2 linked regions of the Saccharomyces cerevisiae S288C genome follow. Changing the gene in region 2 together with the main gene of any one other region gives a genetic interaction. Each region holds a gene or a part of one and is shown on either strand. Other genes may lie near its edges.

The links.
Region 1: mutations in PSG1 (region 2) and PMA1 together harm fitness more than expected from each alone (negative genetic interaction), as found in Saccharomyces cerevisiae (2 studies listed by BioGRID).

What each region holds. Positions count from the first base shown.
Region 1 is NC_001139.9:479,410-490,856, forward strand, and holds PMA1 (H(+)-exporting P2-type ATPase PMA1), read right to left. Parts: upstream 3,258-11,447; coding exon 501-3,257; downstream 1-500. Other genes in the region: YGL007C-A (uncharacterized protein), read right to left, coding at 3,532-3,618; BRP1 (Brp1p), read left to right, coding at 3,851-4,228; YGL006W-A (uncharacterized protein), read left to right, coding at 6,014-6,124; calcium-transporting ATPase PMC1, read left to right, coding at 6,512-10,033; Golgi transport complex subunit COG7, read right to left, coding at 10,299-11,138; RPN14 (Rpn14p), read right to left, coding at 11,294-11,447. UniProt on the Saccharomyces cerevisiae protein: The plasma membrane ATPase of plants and fungi is a hydrogen ion pump. The proton gradient it generates drives the active transport of nutrients by H(+)-symport. The resulting external acidification and/or internal alkinization may mediate growth responses.
Region 2 is NC_001143.9:286,375-295,164, reverse strand, and holds PSG1 (Psg1p), read right to left. Parts: upstream 3,713-8,790; coding exon 2,534-3,712; downstream 1-2,533. Other genes in the region: MUD2 (Mud2p), read left to right, coding at 1-555; AAN1 (Aan1p), read left to right, coding at 857-2,209; DHR2 (RNA helicase), read right to left, coding at 4,113-6,320; SMY1 (Smy1p), read right to left, coding at 6,592-8,562. UniProt on the Saccharomyces cerevisiae protein: With EXP1, the specific cargo receptor protein for the plasma membrane ATPase PMA1, is involved in the transport and/or maturation of PMA1.

The sequences.
Region 1 (11,447 bases), on a different chromosome or scaffold from region 2:
AAATTAGTGTGTGTGCATTATATATATTAAAAATTAAGAATTAGACTAAATAAAGTGTTTCTAAAAAAATATTAAAGTTGAAATGTGCGTGTTGTGAATTGTGCTCTATTAGAATAATTATGACTTGTGTGCGTTTCATATTTTAAAATAGGAAATAACCAAGAAAGAAAAAGTACCATCCAGAGAAACCAATTATATCAAATCAAATAAAACAACCAGCTTCGGTGTGTGTGTGTGTGTGAAGCTAAGAGTTGATGCCATTTAATCTAAAAATTTTAAGGTGTGTGTGTGGATAAAATATTAGAATGACAATTCGAGATGAAATTTTAAGCAAACTCTAGTAGGAAATAAGCGGCTTATTCTTGTTGGCTCCTAATTCTTTTTAGTGTATCAGTTCCCATTGATAAAAAAATTAAAATTAAAATTAGAAAAATTAAACCAGAAAAATCAAGTTGATTAAAATGTGACAAAAATTATGATTAAATGCTACTTCAACAGGATTAGGTTTCCTTTTCGTGTTGAGTAGAGACTCTTTGCATAGCAGCCATGAAGTCTTCGACACTTCTGGTAGACTTCTTTTCCTTCATTGGCTTACCGTTCATCAATCTGTCAAAGGCTTCAGAAGTGGACATTTCGTAGTAGAAACCACCCAAAACACAGAAGATACCGATAGACCAGATCCAGACACGGACGACAGTAACAATATCAGTCCAGTTTTCAGACCACCAACCGAATAAGGTAAACATGGTAGCGATGATGTCGACAGCGAAGACGGCACCAGCCAATTGCCAGGATGGGATAGAAGACCAGAATGGACCAGCAGCTCTGGTAATGAAAATCAACCAGTTTTCAGTCAAGGAAATTTGCAAGAACATAATACCGTTCATAGCACCGAAGTTTTGGATAATACCACCCTTTGGTAAGAACATAGTAGTCAAGGTAATCCAAGAACCTATAGCTAAAACTATGCCCAAAATAATAGACATACCCCATAATCTTGGTAGGTTCCATTTAACGGGCTTTGGAGAGTAAGGAGCATTATCGTAAGCAATAGCCAAAGTAGCAACATCAGCGAAAATAGCGATGAAAACAATCAAATCAATGTCCAAAGAGTTATCCAAAATAGCAATCCATAGACCCAAGAAGATTTCCAAATGTAGAGACAAAGCAATACGGTAAACAACGTAAGAGTACATTCTGTGAAAAATTTGTCTGGAGGTCTTCAAAGCATCAATAATAGCAGATAGACCAGGAGCCAAGAAAACAATATCAGCAGCAGATCTGGCAGCATCAGTAGCACCTTCGACAGCAATACCAGTATCAGCCTTCTTCAAAGATGGAGCATCGTTAACACCATCACCAGTCATAGCAACCAAGTAACCTCTGTTTTGCAAGATTTCAACAACTCTGTATTTATGTTGTGGGAAAACTTCAGCGAAACCATCGGCATTTTCAACAAAATCAGCTAATTCAGAACCTGGCATGTCACCACCGCCACCTAGACCTAATCTTTCAGCGTTGTAAATGTTGGTACCCAAACCCAATTGTCTACAAGTTTCCTTAGCAATACCAACAGCATCACCAGTTAACATCTTAACTCTTAGACCCAAGTGTCTAGCTTCGCTAACAGTTTGAGCAGTATCGTCTCTTGGTGGATCCATACATGGCATAACACCCAAGATTTCCCAGTGACCTTCACCTCTCTTTCTAGCAACACCTAAAGCACGGAACCCTCTAGAAGCCAATTCAGCAACCTTGTTTTCGTAGTTTTCATGGACATCTTCTGGGATTGGGTGATCTTCTTCGACAGTCTTCAAGACGAATAATGGAGCACCCTTAACACAAACAATTCTTTCACCTTCTGGAGATTCGACAACGGCAGTAACCTTCTTGGAGACAGGGTCAAATGGATGGAATTCCAAAACCTTGTACTTGGTCAAAGCGTCCTTAGCCTTTGGATATTGCTTCAAAGACTTCAAGAAAGCCTTATCAATAGCATCCAAACCCTTCTTCTTTCTGGAAGCAGCCAAACAAGCAGTCAACATCAAGTCGTCTGGAGAAACACCTTCAACAGTGTATGGTTCGTGCAAGGACAACTTGTTCTTGGTCAAAGTACCGGTTTTGTCGGAACACAAGATTTCGACACCAGCCAAGGATTCAATAGCAGACAACTTTTGAACAATGGCTTGTTTCTTAGCCAAGTAAGCAGCACCGACGGCCATAGTGGTGGTAACGACAGCTGGCAAACCGACTGGGACACCAATAATAGTAATACCTAGAGTGTATCTCAAGATTCTAACAATACCGTTGGTTCTGTAGAAACAAGCAGTCCAGACCAACAACAAAGTGGCAATGACCAAAACCAATAAGATAATACCAATACCGTTCAAAACTTCAGTGAAATGACCTTGACCACCAGCGGCTTTGTTAACCAAAGCAGCAGCTCTACCAACGAAAGTGTTGTCACCGGTAGCGGTAACAACCATGAAACCTTCACCTCTCTTAACAGTGGAAGAAGAGAAAGTTTGGTCACCGTAATGTTTGTCGACAGCCAAAGATTCACCAGTAATAGCAGATTGATCGATTTGCAAGAAACAGTCTTCAGTGACAATACGACCATCAGTTGGGATAACAGTACCATCTTCCAATTGCAAAATATCACCTGGGACGACTTCGTTGGCTGGAATTTCAACCAATTGACCGTCTCTGATAACAACAGCAGTGTTAGCCAAAGTCTTTTTCAATTCATCGACAATAGAACCAGCTTGGAATTCTTGAACGAAACCAACACCAGCGTTTAACATTAACAAACCACAGATAACACCGAAATCGACCCAATCGGACAAACCGGCAGCCAAAATAGCAGCGGCTTCCATAACGAATTGAATTGGACCGACGAAAAACATAACGAACTTAACGACTAAAGATTCTTTTTCGTCAGCCATTTGATTCAAACCGTACTTCTTTCTTCTTTTCAAAACTTCATCGGAAGTTAAACCGTAAGATGGGTCAGTTTGTAAATATTCTTCTGGAACTGGTCTAGCTTCACCGGCGGCAACTGGACCATCGTTATCACTGTCTTCGTCGTCGACACCGTGATTAGATTGTAGTTCTTCGATTAAAGCATCGATATCGTCATCGTCAGAAGATTCAGATGCAGCGTCATCGTAAGTCTTAGCAGGCTTTTCTTGAGTTGGCTGATGAGCTGAAACAGAAGATGCTGAAGAGGATGATGAAGAGGATGATGTATCAGTCATATTGATATTGTTTGATAATTAAATCTTTCTTATCTTCTTATTCTTTTCAATGATTTTCTTTAACTAGCTGGGGTATATTTTTTTTCTTTCTTTTGAATGTGTGTATAAAAGAGAGAAAAAATGGTTATTTTCCAATTAATTAATTATTAACGATTGTTAAAGAAAAAATTTATCAACGAGGTTGATAGAAAAAAAAAGTTTTTGTAGATATAGAAGAAAAAAAGATTTTCACTATTGGTGTTATAGGAAAGAAAGAGAAAAAATTTAAGAGAAATTAGATGTTAGACGATAATGATAGGACATTTGAAAATAATACAATATTTGGCCTTTTTATATAATCGAAACTAATGGAGGGGAGCATAAGCGGTACCCACCATCGACCACGTTTCGTCACCGGTCATAATTGGAATAAACAAAACAAACAAACGAACTAAAGAGTGTGAGAGTAACAATTTCCACAGAGGTAAAAAAAAAAAAAAGGAAAACAGAAACAAAAAAAGCTCATAGTTCTACTATAGCTTCTTCAGACTTTCTGTGAACGAGGGAAAAAGACAACAAAAAAGCAATGGATAAACGGTCTCGAGAGATTTTTCATGATGGAAAAGGAAGGAAAAAAACCCGAAAGGCATATGGATAACATTCTGAAAATGTCTATTCCTGTCAAAAGCATGTCAGAGGTCTCGAGGCCTGGAAGTGCCGCATTAGGAAATACAGATGCAATGCGCGCGAGTTTACGAAATTCTCGCAGGAGTTTCTCCGGCCATGTGCGGCTGGTTCTACGTCTCGTGTATGGGTTTATTTCTGCGGTAATTATCGCCGGATCTCCGCTTCGAGACCGGGTTTGTTTTCAAATTACCGGAAAAGGTCAGGCAAAACAGAGTGATGTATGGGTGATCCCAGCAATGCCTGTTTATGTTTCTCCGTTTCAGGAAGCTTGTTTTGTTTTTTCCCCGTCAGCGATGGTGACGTAAACGACTTTTTGCACTTTAGCAAAGCTGAGTTAATCTCGGAAAATCTCTGTGTCCTTCCTTTTTCTTCTAGCTTCCGTTCCGAGTCTCATCTTCTTTCCCGTGCCGTCGGGTTTAGTAAAGAAATGTAAAGAAAAAATGTCGTATCGTACCCGAGAAATATTTCAATTCTCTTACGTATGCGATAGCAGTTGGAAAGATCTGATTCGTTACGATGACTTGATAAGCGCGGGCTTTTTCGCCCTATACGGCTTGGGCCTGACTAAAATGTGATTCTGTGTTTTACGTATATGCGCGTATATAGAGCAATTGATTGACTTATTACGCAGTTTATCAAGATAAATTCTTTGTTCTTGCTTACGGGAGTGTGGTAAGCATGTATACGCCCGTTTAAAAACCCGATGGAGGCTTTTTCCCCAATTCTCGTACTCCATTGGGCATATGATTTCTTTCTTTTTCCCTTTTTTTTTTTTTCTATTTCCCTAAACTAACAGAACAAGCTTCAAAACAAATGACGGAGAGAAAAACAGTTTTGATTTACCAAATGCGGCAAACTTATTGAGGCTAGACACAGCTCTACCGGATTCGTCCGAGCACTTTTTTGTTTTCTTTTCTATATTTACTACAAACATAACAAAGTTTTGTGCGTCTTCCCTAAAGCAGCTAGGATGAAAATCCTATGCTCTCATCTCGCTGGTTGCCATCTCATCGCATCCAATGCTGTCTGTAATCATTTTATTGGACTTTTCTTTGTTTGCTAATCCCCCTTTTCTTTTTCCCGTTCTTTTCTTGTCCTTGTTTTTCATTTTAACTATATTTCTGAAATTAAGGAAAAATAAGGCAAAAAGTGGGTGGATGCATCTGCGACTTCTCTAGTTTTGCGCCTACTTGGGCGCGCTAATAATAAGGGTTTAGCTTCTTAAAATAAAAATGTCAGTAACAGTTGTACGATAAGGTCTTTACTTTTTTTCTCTCGAGAAATGTCTTTTTCTAATTAATCTCTCTTTTCTGTTGTTGGTTACTGCCTTCCATAGTCCAAGACCATTCGTTATATGGTGCAGTGTAGGATCGAGGAGAATCGGCTCACGGTGCTTATATTATTGCCCGGCTTCAAGTATATTTACATCAGTCTCCATAGTTGTTTTATCTTATTCTTGGCATTGATCTGCTTATTAAACTATTTATCGGTTCTCTCTTCTGGTACAGAACTTAACATGATCTTGTTTTCACTATTGTGCCATAAGCTGAAAAGGCTAAAATAAAATTAAGATAGTAAAGTTCACTCTTAAACTAATCAAGCATGAATAATACAAAATAAATATTTGAGCCAAAGGGGATGATTTAATTATCAAGTTTTTCTTTTCATACTTCGGTTTACAAGCATTGTTTACGGCTCTTCTTTTCTTAGTTCTTGGCAGTTTGTGTTTTCTTGATGAGAATAAGAAAAGTATCGATCTTACGGCAAAACATAAATAAAACACAACTTTATCTTTTTTTGTCGCAGTAGTGTGGTCCTACAGCTCCAAGCCTGCCGCTTTTAAAATAGTGAGCTGTGCATACTGATATATGTTCTATTTTACCCATTTGAGGGGCCTAAATTGTCTATTAATTTTTTTACTTTAATACAGTTTGTATAGAAACATGTGGCACTAACAGCTTTATCCGCCCGCAGAAAAGATAAAAAAAAAGGGTTTTTACCCGGCAAAGAAGCTTCTCCATCATTTGTCAGGGGGAAAAGAAAATTAGGAGGCTCAGGCCCTAGAAGCGCCCTCCACGCTTTTTAAACAAATGCTAATCTTCATAATTCATTATCATCGCCACTTGGCATTGCATTTAATGGGCGCCTTCCAAAAACATTCAAATAGTATCAGCCCCCCCCCAAGGAAAGGCTTTATTTGAATTGCGTTAAATATTCGATTTCTTTCTAGCAATTATTACCAAAATAAATTGCAGGCTTAACGAAAAATTAAATAATCTCTTCAGATTTTTTCACTTCCCCAAACTACATTTTAGTCAGGTTGGCACGATTCAATTGAGAAGGCTTAGGTTAAGAATAAACATTTTTTCATAAATTTGAGGAAGAAGGGGCTTTTCTGGTAATTTTCATTCAATAGAAAGGCTTAAGAAAACGTCAAAAAACTCATGCGCCTCCAGTAAAAACTAAGTGTATTAAGAGAATTGTATCACATATATACGACATTGAATTAAAGAAATAAAACTTGAACAAATAAAGTTTAGAAAAGTGGTTCTAAAAAAAAAAAAACTGTGTGCGTAACAAAAAAAATAATGTCTAGACAAGACGAAAATTCTGCTTTACTAGCGAATAATGAAAATAACAAACCATCGTATACGGGAAATGAGAACGGAGTCTACGATAATTTCAAATTATCAAAAAGTCAACTTTCGGATCTTCATAACCCTAAATCAATAAGATCATTTGTCAGATTATTTGGATATGAGTCTAACAGCCTCTTCAAATACTTGAAAACAGATAAAAATGCAGGCATTTCTCTTCCAGAAATATCAAATTATCGAAAGACAAACCGGTATAAAAATTATGGCGATAATTCACTTCCTGAAAGAATACCAAAGTCTTTTTTACAATTAGTATGGGCTGCTTTTAATGACAAAACAATGCAATTACTGACAGTCGCCGCTGTTGTTTCCTTTGTTTTAGGTCTATACGAACTATGGATGCAACCTCCACAGTATGATCCTGAAGGAAATAAAATTAAGCAAGTTGACTGGATTGAAGGGGTTGCTATCATGATTGCGGTCTTTGTGGTAGTTCTAGTGAGTGCCGCTAACGATTACCAGAAGGAGTTGCAATTTGCAAAGCTAAATAAAAAGAAGGAAAACCGTAAAATTATAGTCATAAGAAATGATCAGGAAATATTAATTTCCATTCACCACGTTTTAGTCGGTGATGTCATTTCATTACAAACCGGTGATGTTGTCCCCGCTGATTGTGTTATGATATCAGGGAAGTGTGAGGCAGATGAATCATCCATCACTGGTGAATCTAACACAATACAGAAATTTCCGGTGGATAACTCATTAAGAGATTTCAAAAAATTTAATTCTATCGATAGTCATAACCATAGCAAACCATTAGATATAGGTGACGTTAACGAAGACGGTAACAAGATTGCTGATTGTATGTTGATTTCAGGTTCCAGAATTCTCTCTGGCTTGGGCAGGGGTGTCATCACGTCCGTGGGTATAAACTCAGTTTACGGTCAAACCATGACTTCATTAAATGCCGAACCTGAAAGTACTCCATTACAGTTACATTTGAGCCAATTGGCTGATAATATATCCGTTTACGGTTGCGTGTCTGCTATAATTCTTTTCTTGGTCCTTTTCACTAGGTACTTATTTTACATAATACCTGAGGATGGCAGGTTCCATGATCTAGATCCCGCTCAAAAGGGTTCTAAATTTATGAACATTTTTATCACATCTATCACGGTTATTGTGGTGGCTGTTCCGGAAGGTTTACCATTAGCTGTAACTTTGGCCTTAGCGTTTGCAACAACAAGAATGACAAAAGACGGTAATTTAGTACGGGTTTTAAGAAGCTGTGAAACGATGGGATCTGCTACTGCAGTGTGCTCTGATAAGACTGGCACTTTGACAGAAAATGTCATGACTGTCGTTCGTGGCTTCCCGGGCAATTCTAAATTTGATGATAGTAAATCGTTGCCCGTTAGCGAACAAAGGAAGCTGAATTCTAAGAAAGTTTTTGAAGAAAATTGTTCGTCATCCTTGAGAAATGATTTATTAGCCAATATTGTCCTGAATTCTACCGCCTTCGAAAACAGAGATTATAAGAAAAACGATAAAAATACAAATGGTAGTAAAAATATGTCAAAAAATTTGAGTTTTTTAGATAAGTGTAAATCTAGATTATCGTTTTTTAAAAAAGGCAACAGGGAAGATGACGAGGATCAATTATTCAAAAATGTCAACAAGGGTAGGCAAGAACCCTTTATTGGCTCTAAAACGGAAACAGCCTTACTCAGTTTGGCAAGATTATCATTAGGATTACAACCGGGAGAATTGCAATATTTGAGAGATCAACCGATGGAAAAGTTTAATATCGAAAAAGTTGTTCAAACAATTCCGTTTGAAAGTTCTCGTAAATGGGCCGGCTTAGTGGTAAAGTACAAAGAAGGCAAAAATAAAAAACCATTTTACAGGTTTTTCATTAAAGGTGCAGCAGAAATTGTTTCCAAGAATTGTTCGTACAAGAGGAATTCAGATGATACTTTGGAAGAAATCAATGAGGACAATAAAAAAGAAACTGATGATGAAATCAAAAATCTTGCGTCCGATGCTCTCAGAGCCATAAGTGTTGCCCACAAAGATTTCTGCGAATGTGATAGCTGGCCCCCTGAACAGCTGCGTGATAAAGACTCACCAAATATAGCTGCTCTTGACTTGCTATTTAACAGTCAAAAGGGCTTAATTCTAGATGGTTTACTTGGGATTCAAGACCCTTTACGTGCAGGCGTTAGGGAGTCAGTACAACAGTGCCAACGTGCTGGTGTAACTGTGCGTATGGTTACTGGTGACAATATATTAACAGCAAAAGCAATCGCGAGGAATTGTGCGATTCTTTCTACTGATATTAGTTCAGAGGCTTATTCTGCAATGGAAGGCACTGAATTCAGAAAGTTAACGAAAAACGAACGTATAAGAATCCTGCCAAATTTAAGGGTCTTAGCAAGGTCTTCGCCTGAGGATAAAAGGTTATTAGTAGAAACATTGAAGGGGATGGGAGATGTTGTTGCGGTCACTGGCGATGGTACGAACGATGCTCCAGCTTTAAAGCTAGCTGATGTTGGTTTCTCAATGGGTATTTCCGGTACGGAGGTTGCCAGAGAGGCTTCTGACATTATTTTGATGACTGATGATTTCTCAGCTATTGTCAACGCTATTAAGTGGGGAAGATGTGTTTCAGTCTCCATAAAAAAGTTCATACAGTTTCAATTAATTGTTAATATCACCGCAGTGATTTTAACGTTCGTTTCATCCGTTGCATCTAGTGATGAAACATCAGTACTGACGGCGGTCCAACTGTTATGGATCAATCTAATCATGGATACTCTAGCAGCTTTAGCTTTAGCCACTGATAAACCCGATCCAAATATCATGGACAGAAAACCTAGGGGCCGCTCAACTTCTTTGATTTCTGTGTCAACTTGGAAAATGATTCTATCACAAGCTACATTGCAGTTGATAGTTACTTTCATTTTGCATTTTTACGGGCCAGAGTTATTCTTCAAGAAACATGAAGATGAAATAACAAGTCACCAACAGCAGCAACTGAATGCCATGACATTCAACACTTTTGTTTGGTTGCAATTTTTTACCATGTTAGTATCGAGAAAATTAGATGAAGGTGATGGTATATCAAACTGGAGAGGCAGGATTTCTGCCGCCAATTTGAATTTCTTCCAAGACTTGGGTAGAAACTATTATTTTCTCACGATCATGGCGATCATTGGCAGCTGTCAAGTTTTAATCATGTTTTTTGGTGGCGCACCATTTTCTATTGCCAGACAAACCAAATCAATGTGGATAACCGCGGTACTGTGTGGTATGTTGTCTCTAATCATGGGGGTGCTAGTGAGAATCTGCCCCGATGAAGTAGCAGTGAAGGTATTTCCGGCTGCTTTCGTTCAAAGATTCAAGTACGTATTTGGACTCGAGTTCCTCAGAAAAAACCATACTGGAAAACACGACGATGAAGAAGCGCTGTTGGAGGAATCTGATAGTCCAGAGTCCACCGCCTTTTATTAATAGACGCGCTCTATATGTTTATACAAATGTAAGTGACCAAATGAAAAGATGTGTGTAATAGTTATATTTTCAAAATTGTACACTATATTATATAATCAATAAAAAGAAACTATCTGAAATAGCATGTCCTCCTAAACAAATTCCTTTTTACCCTTTTATGCATTACAAGTGGACCAAAAGGACTGGAAATGGTAAAAAGAAATAAGAATTTAAACATGCTATAAATTTCTTTTGTTAATTGCAAATTTTTTGTTTTTATCACCGATTATGATATCATACCATCGTCAATATTCTTGGTTGATAAATAACTTTGTGCTTTTGATTTTATGCTCTCCGAAAAGTTGCTATACTCAGCAAAGAACTTATCTAGGCCTTTAAACAGACATTTCAGTTCAGAAAGTGAATCAATTCTCCCAATCAAATCCTTGTTTGTTTCATCTTTAGCCTCGTTATCAATCGCAGAGCTTAAAGATTCATCGATTGTATCCTCTAATGCTTTCAATGATGTTCTAAAATCTGTTATCGAAAGATCTGTCCCCGTGCTGGTTGTATTATTTTCTCTAACTGTCGAAATATTCGTAACGGTCCTAACTTGTTCCAGGTAATATACCACTTTTTCAATTCTCTCCTTAATCAACATTAAACTTTGCAGTTGTTGCCTCACATTGGTATTGCGATTATTTTCGTTATCTAGATCGCTTAGTTTCTCAGTTACATTATGCATTCCTGTTTCTAATGCTCTTACAGCACTTGCCAACGTATCTAAGTAATATTCAAGCTTCGATGATTTTAAGGATTCAGTAGAATACAATGAGGAATCGTTCTGTTCTGCTTCTTTGTGATACCTAGAAGATGCCCAAGTTCTTGGTAACGTTTGAGATAATTTATCCAAATTCCATATGGTGCTTTCCAACTCTTTTGTAAGGTTCTTTGTGTAAAAATCCAACCTGGTTAATAGCAATGAGGATACTGATTGCGTTTGAATCTGATCTTCGTTTAAGGCATTTGATAAGAGTATATCAACGAATGCATGGGGAACGAACTCCTCATCAAAAAACATACTCAATATATCATCATCATCACCCGTAATTGTCAACTCTACCATATTCTGCTTAGTTTGGCCTTCTTGTTCTTAGTGAATTGTTCTATTTTAGACATATTTCATATGGAAATAAAATGCATTATCACCCTCAAAGCGCATTACGCCAAGCTCATGCAGCGAAGTGAACTTTTTTGAAAAAGTTACTAGTACGAAAGAGGTTAAGGATTACTTAAGTTATACAAAGCGCAGAAGTTGTTTTTTCCAACTTCAAGCACCTCCCCATTTGATTCATCATCAGAAACGTAACAGAATTGGCTGACCTCATCGTCATTGGAAACTAAAAAGGTGGGCGTCTCAAATTCAATAGCGGGC
Region 2 (8,790 bases):
ACCGCTAAGCCACTTTTTTACAAATGTTCGTCCAATACAAACAACACTGGCAAAGAATCCGAATTCACTAAATGTATTCTATTATCGTTTGAAGTCGTCACTCAGGATATTCTTGATAAATTAAAACCATACAAATGGTTCAAGCCAAATGATGGAAAGATATCACAAGTTACTTCATGGATTACGTTTCAAAGCCTGCCAAATCTGGTTACCCAATCTGTTCGTGTTGAATCGAGAGTTTTGTTGCTCTTAAATTGTCTTGATCCATTGGATTTGAAAGATGAAACCTTTATCACAGAAATTAAAGAAACATTAAAGTATAGTATCGCGGGAGCAGATACGATTAAAATATGCCAACCCGGCGTCGATTACAGACTTAATTTTGAAAACTTGGCTTCCGGAGCCGGTAATATTTATATCAAGTTCAAGACCTTGGAGGCAGCAAAACACGCAATGGAAGAATTGCCGGGTACGCAATTCAACGATCGCACTGTTCTGTGTACTTATATAGATGAGGACGACTTTGACATGATGGAAGCAACCCAACTTTCCTAAATGGTCTATTTTGTAGAGCGAAATTAAGTAAAGAATTGAGTATTCATTATGTAGATCTAATCTTTAACGCAGTGAAAAAAGTCCTCGTTTTTGGTGACTTTTTTTGTACAATTACTTTTTTGAAATATAACGAAAGTTAGCAGATTGACTACTAACTTGCGATCTGGAAAATTAAGAGAATTCAAACTTTTTTTGTTGCATGGGTCAATAATCATCATTAGAGCTTGCCTTGATCAATTTCCTTCACATTTTTGGAATAACTAACATTATAAATCAAGCCTAGTATAGCGCGCCAAAGAAGATGGCTAAAGATTTATTGCCCAAGCAAGCGGCCAACGAGCCATCGTTAAAGGACTGTACCTGTAAAAGATGTCTTAAATTGGGTGCTTCAAAAGAAAAAAAGATTAGAAGAAAGAAGAAAGGTGAGGAGAAAAGAGAAAGACATTATGGAAATAGACGAAAGTTAACATTCAACTTTTTGAAGCATACGAACATGGAAAATACAAATTACGACGTAATCACTTCGGTTGGATATCTGAATGAAAAATACGGATTGAAAAAATCACATTACATTGAAAAATTTATCAAATGCATCCATAGAAAAATAAATATCGATGTTAGCAAAATTACGGACGCCTATGTAAACTCGCTAAACCCGTGGGTTAAAGTAAAACTCTTCCTTTTATTGGTGACATTGTCTGAAAAGGGTGGTCCGGAATACTGGCTAGATAAGACAGATGGTGAAAAGAACTCAGAGGCGTCTTCAACAGATAATAGTTTGGAAAATTCTACTAAAGGAGCAGATAGCGCTGGATCTACTGCTTTGAGAGATGAAATGGTCAAAAGCCATAAAAACCTTTTCCCAACTCTTACAGAGCAAATCATACAGCATAACATCAACCAAGATTTTACGGAATCGACTTACGACGAGGATTATGTATTTTCGTCAATTTGGGCAAACTTCATGGAAGGACTGATCAATCACTATTTGGAAAAAGTCATTGTACCTTACTCGGAAATGAAAGTCTGTCAGCAATTATACAAGCCTATGATGAAAATTATCTCCCTCTATAACGAATACAATGAGCTTATGGTCAAAAGCGAAAAGAACGGATTCTTGCCTTCTCTACAAGACTCCGAAAATGTCCAAGGTGATAAAGGCGAAAAAGAGAGCAAGGATGATGCCGTTAGCCAAGAAAGACTGGAAAGAGCGCAAAAGCTGTTATGGCAAGCTCGAGAAGATATTCCAAAAACAATTAGCAAAGAATTAACGTTGTTATCAGAAATGTATTCTACATTATCTGCTGATGAGCAAGATTACGAATTAGATGAATTTGTTTGTTGCGCAGAGGAGTACATTGAATTGGAATACCTACCTGCCCTTGTAGATGTCTTGTTTGCTAATTGTGGCACGAACAACTTCTGGAAAATTATGTTGGTGTTGGAACCCTTTTTCTACTACATTGAAGACGTCGGCGGAGATGATGATGAAGATGAAGATAATGTGGACAATAGCGAGGGCGACGAAGAAAGCTTACTTAGCAGGAATGTGGAAGGAGATGATAATGTGGTTGAGCGTCATTTTAAGCCTGATCCAAGGGTCATTACACTGGAAAAAATATGTGAAGTTGCTGCAAGACAGAAATGGATATAAGGAGAAATCAAAGGAAAAGAAGCAAGATCCAGCGTTTTCTTTTGAACCCTGGAGGATGCTGATGCATTCTCTATTTATTTGGTATCAAATTGTCGTACAGATGATTTATATATGTTAATATTGTTCAGTTTACACTAATTTTAATTTACCGTATTTACTATCCAAAGGAGAAAAAAAGAAGTATATGGACTTCAGTATTTATACAATATCGAGTTAAGATAAGTTAAGTAACAAAAAAAACTGGATAGAGTGGTTTTCTATTAGTGTGACGGAAGATAAAAACAGCCCTCTCGAGGAAGGGTGAATGCATACTTCGAAGGGAATCTAATTTTGTTTACTGGTTTTCTTATAAGATGGCAATTCGGTGTACTTGTGATTTTTCATGTTTTTGAATTTCTTCATCTCCGAGAACTTACCCAAAACACGGCGTTTCTTGTTTAAAGCTTTTCTAGTAACATCTGTGAAATCTCTGTTTTTCCCGTTGACATATAAGAAAAAGTACATGAAGACGAAAAATACCACCACGACAGTAGGGATAGATAATGCAACATAATACCACTGATCATTTGTTATACCTGCATCGTCTAAAGCCAGTTGCTCCTTAGTAGGCTTAAACACTTTTGAACCCTTAGTGATGTATAATAAAATACCGTATTGTAGTGGATCGAAATCTTCATCTGATATGTATATTGGCTGAACTGATACAACGATCCTACGATCAAATTGGTCCTGCAGCCATTCATCTCTGACCTCAACCGGCATTAGACCGTTGTCATTATCAATCCATTCGGAAGAGAAAAAAGTTGCAGGGATATCTCTTTTATAATTGCCCTTCTCTACGGGGTTTTCTTTAACATAGGACAAATGAACACGAACCTTATCAGCAACTTTACCGGAATTCTCATCTGTAAAAAATCTTGTATACCAAGTAACGAAGTAAGTCTTGTCAACCTTCCATCTAGAATTCTCATAAGGGGTACAAAATGGCTCACTGCGGATATCCTTTGCTAGACCTTTATTGAAGTAAAGATTAGGAGTACATCTGACAATAGGATTCAGGGAGACGTAGGTGTCATCTTCATCAATATACTCTTCTTCTACAAAAACTTCATTAGGGCCCATATTGTGAGCCTTCAATTCTTCATAAGAATATGTGTGGGAACTTACCGTTTTGAAGTAAGTTGAGTAATCAGGTCTTCCCTTCTTGGTTCGACCTTTGTTGATTTCTGGTTTAATGGTTTTTGGCCTACCATCATGCTCTAAAGATACCCAAGGTTTCAATGGATTTGGTGTTTCTTCTGGTTTTTCAGAAAAAGTGACACCGGCAATGACCGTAGGAGTGACTAATTCTTTTTGACTTCCATAAACCGTACGTAACCAAGGTTTAACTTCTTCTGAAGTAGTCATTTTCTCCTTTGGACGAACGACTTGTCTTGCACCATGAACATGTTGATAAAGCGATGCCAAAGAAAAGAAGATAAGTATACTATCGTGAAATCTCATTATTCCGCAATTCCTTCAGATCCCGCAGAACTGCTTCCGACTATATTGTCTTAACCTTTTTGCTAAAATATTTTGTTCTTCAAAAGTAAAGAATAGCTTGCTGAGAGAAATGCGTCGAATTGCCTTTCTTATTTTTTTCATGATCTTTTATTCCTTTTCAAAATGTCAACGGCAAAATAATATAATTTCGCCCTTTTCCCGAGATAATTTCACAAAAAAAGCCAACGAACAATTCGAAAGGCGTTTAACATGAATATACATATATACCTGTGTATATTCATAAGATATTGAGAAATGAATCCATGAAACTCATACTGCAGTAGTTGTTACGATTTATAATGCTCTATAAATTACATTAAATGCCTTTATATACAATAAAAATGCGCTAAGAGTAGGTGACTTATTTTGAATCAGAAACTTTTTGCTTTGCTACAGCGGCTGCATTAGTGACAACTTCTTGTAACCATGAAAGTTCAATCCTACTAACATTTCTGGCATATCCCTTCGTAGTAAAGACATACTCCGTGTACATTATACCGGGGCAGCTTTTATTCATAAATAGCATAGATGATGGATGAATGCTTATCGGCTCTCCAGTGGAAACAGTTCTATAAGACCTGTCTGGCATCCCTATAGCTGTATTCTTGATAAACCCAGTTAAGAAACACTTTAAAATTTTCGAAATTAGCTCGCCATCTTCACCAATCTTTTTGGATTCTTCATCCTCTTCACTGATTGAAGAAAACAAACGCTTACAATAAACTCTTAACTGGTCTCTGACACGAATTACATTTTTAAACCCACGTATCGAAATACACAATCCTTTACACCAATCATTTCTTTCAGAGCTTGCATCTTGACTTTTCCCTAGTTCGTAGAAATAGATATCAAAAAGCTCTTTCAGCATGATAAGGTCACCATACCTTTTACCAGCGTTGCATAAGGACAAACGACGCTCGTTCACCTCATCTCTTTCTTCTGGTGACGGATTCAACAGTAAATTTTCCACACTAAGGCAAGAGACGATATCAATGACCTGACTCAAACATCCGACTTCACTGGCTTTAATTAAGACACTACTTAAATGCGGTTGTAGCGGTAACAGAGCCATTTGTTGACCCCGTTTAGTTATCTTTCCACGAGTGTCAAGAGCACCCAATTCATAAAGTTCCTGAAGCCCCATTACTATAGCTTCCTTTCCAGGGTTCTCAAACCAGGTCCAGTTTAGCAGGTCATCAACACCATATCTCTTCAACATTAACACAGGAGATGTGACGTCACTTCTGGCTATTTCAGGTTCACTTTGTTTAGGTAATTTCACATAATCAGACTCACAATAAAGCCTGAAACTCTTTCCTTCACTTTCTCTACCAGCACGACCACTTCTCTGCATCGCACTTGCCTGAGAAATGGGTACGGTAAGTAGAGTGGCTAATCCCAGCTGATGTCTCCAAACTTTGACTTTTCGAAGACCAGAATCAACGACAAATTTAACACCGGATATGGTAACAGATGTTTCTGCAATATTGGTACTAAAGACGACTTTTCTCTTGAAACCCTTTATCGGAGCGAAGACCAAGGACTGTTGGACCGCGGGAAGAGCTGCATATAAAGGATAAGGAACTATTAATGGTACTGGGGCCTCATCTGAAACATACTTTGCAATTTTCTCCATTATAGTCACTGCTTTGTCAATCTCTTCTTGGCCCGGTAAAAAACATAAGATATCTCCCAGTTCTTCACCTTGGTTTATTTGTATACAACACCTGATGACAGCGTCTACTATATCATCTGTTGGCGCCTTCAAGTAGTATTGTTTGACATCAAATTTTCTTCCTTCTACAAATAAGATTGGGGCATTATTGAAGAACTCACTAAATTTTTCGGCTTGCAATGTTGCAGACATAACAATTATTCTCAAATCAGGTCTTGGCCCTTGTATCAAGGATTTTAAGAACCCCAATATCAAATCTGTAAGCACAGTTCTTTCATGCGCTTCATCGATAACGATGACGCTGTATTCTCTAAGGTCACTATTCATCATAAGTTCTCTAAGTAACATACCGTCAGTCAGATACTTAAGTCTTGTTCTTGTAGTAGTCGTATTGTCAAATCTGACAGAATAACCTACTTGTTCACCCAGTTTGCAACCATGTTCTTGAGCAACACGTGTAGCCAAATTGATGGCCGCAACACGACGGGGTTGAGTTACAGCAATCGACCCATGCTTCTTCGTATCATATAATTTTTCTAATACGAATTGCGGAATTTGTGTTGATTTACCAGAACCTGTTTCACCAATAAGGACGGTAACGGGATTGCTTTCAATATATGACATTATTTCTCGCTTGTGTTGGTAAACGGGAAGTGTTTCTCTCATTTTGAGTAAATCGCTTGCCCGACTTTTCAAAGATTTATAAGTAAGGACATTTTCCTTGTTCGAACGTTGGTCTGAAACATGGTCGCCCTCGCCTGAATCATTAAACTTTACGATTTTACTAGCTCTTTTAATCCGAGTGTTATTCGTGAATGGATGTATATTCCTCCTAACCTTTTGTTTTTTAGAAGTATGGTTTGATGCAACTCTACTATTGCTATTTGCTGCCATGATAATGTCTGCAGACTCTTGCAACCTCTTCTTGAGGAATTCTTACATATATATCATAACCTCATCTCATCTCATCGAGCAGAATTTTTTATTTTCAATTTTTCTCATTTTTCCAAATCATTGTAAACGAATAGCCGCCGAAGAAAAACGGTAGAAGAAAAGTACATCTTTCAGTCAGCATTATACGTACAAATTATTAGCGTTATCATCATGATTATAATTACAAAGATACTACACAGTTGTATCGTACAATTATCGAACTTAATTATAGTCAGCTTCCAGAAGAGGGACTTTTTGGAGTACTCGAAGTGACTTTTATCGAATGGAGGTTTAATCCCTTCTTGAACGGTCTTGCCACAAAAGACTCCTGTGATCCAGTGGTTGCTATACTGCTAGAAGAAACCTTTCTCGCGCCCCATACTAAAGGTTTTGAGGAAGTATTGGCTGACCAAGGGCTATTTGATATTTCAGAACCCTCCTCGATATGCAACATAGTATTTCCTGATGACGAGCTCATAGACCCTCTTCTAGGAGATGGGATTGCAGATTTATTAAGAGAAAGCTCTTTGACAGAACTTTCCAAAGATTTTATCCTTTCACTGCGTGTTTCAGTAAGTTTAGTGTGAGTTTCTAGTTCACCCTTTAAGATGGCGTTAGTAGTTAAAAGCTCTTGAATCTCTCTTTCCTGAAGCTGAATTTGTTCTAGTAGCCTAACGTTCATAGACTCTAAGGCTTCCTCTTTTGACTTTTTGTATTCTAACTCTTGCTGCAACTTAGAATTGGAATTCATCTGTCGATCAAAAGATAACTCAAGCTGAGCAATCTGTTCGCATCTTTTCGTTAATATTTCAGAAACTTCTTCGTCAATACGATTGTTAGGATCTTCATTGGTAGAACTACTCAATAATTGGGTAATACTGTCTAATTGAAGCTTTAGTTTGATATTTTCTTTCTTTGTATTTTCTAACATTTTTTTCTCGTCGTCTTCGGGAAGAGATTTATTGTGAAGGCTTTTTAAAGAGTCTATTTCAGCCTTTAGTATATTAATTTGGGCAACATAATTATCATCCTTAATTTTCATGTCCTGAATAAATAGATCCATTTTTTTTTTCAGATTTAAACCTGTGGTGTTATCTGTAACCTTGTTATTGATCTGTCTAATACTGTCACCAAATTCTAGTGTTGATAGGGTAGTTGGAACATTACTTAAGAAACATGTCAATATCACCTTTGTTTTCCTATTTCCCCCAAGGGAATCTTTTAACACTTCAGTTAATTGCGATTCACGGTAAGCAGAACTATGTGATCCTTTTGCGCTGTAGGCTGAATCACGCTCTTTCATTGACAAGGACCGCACAGTGTTTTTCAACGCCTCAATAGATTGGTTTAATTTTTTTAACGCATCTTGTGATAGCGTACTTTCAGTTCTTTTATCGAACTTCTCTGCCCCGTGTAAATCAACCAGATATAAAGAACTATTTTTTAATATATCATCTTTTCTATTCCTTTGTTCTACGTGTAATTGAAAAACTAGGTGTGATCTTGATCTCTCTGTCTTGTCGCCACATGCCATCCTATTGCCGACGTTTTGGACTGCCTGAATGTAGCTTCTTAAGTCTTCATACGATCCGACATGTGCCGGACAAATATCTTTGATTTCTAAGTCCATTTTGCTTGAAGAACGGTGAAGCTTTAATGGTTTTCTTTCAGGTAAAGGTACCAATAAGTCATACGTTTTCTCCATATATATTTCGAATGCCAAAACACTTACGCTAAAACTATCTCCCTTTGTTTCTTCATTTTTTTCTAGCGTATCAAACAAGGTCTTGCATATGTTCGGTAGAATTCCTTCGCTTTCTTTTGATCCAATAAGGGAATAGGACTTTCCGCTGAAACTTGGTCCATATGTTATTACAGTACCGTTATAACCATTCAAAACATCATTTATTATTGGATGCACCAGAAATTTCTGAACATCTTCTTGAGTGGCGTTAGCATCGAATACCTTATCGAATTGAAATGTTGAATGGGTCTCCTTGGTTGTCTCATGTAACGGATTGTTTGTGCGAAATAGCACAGTATTTTCATATGGGTCTATTTTGAAGGTCGACTCATTGTTTTGTAATCCTTTTTCGGGTATCGCCCTGAGGATAACTTCGATGTGACAGGGTTCACTGCTGTCTAGAGTTGGTAACGATACAGAAGAGCTACTTTGCTCTTTCGAAATTATATTCCAGTGCATTTTAACAAGTTTGCACCTACCCTGAATGATAATTTTTTCTGGTTTAAAGTCGACCTGTAGTGCTTAATAAACCCCCTACTAGTGCTAAATCCTGTAGATTTCCGTGCCAATTTTTCTATTTTTATTTTTCTTTTTTTGATTTTTTTTTTTTTTTAATTTCCATTTTTTTAACTTCCACCTCTTTCCTTGTTAACCATAAATAAGGAAGGATTGGAACTCAACGACAAA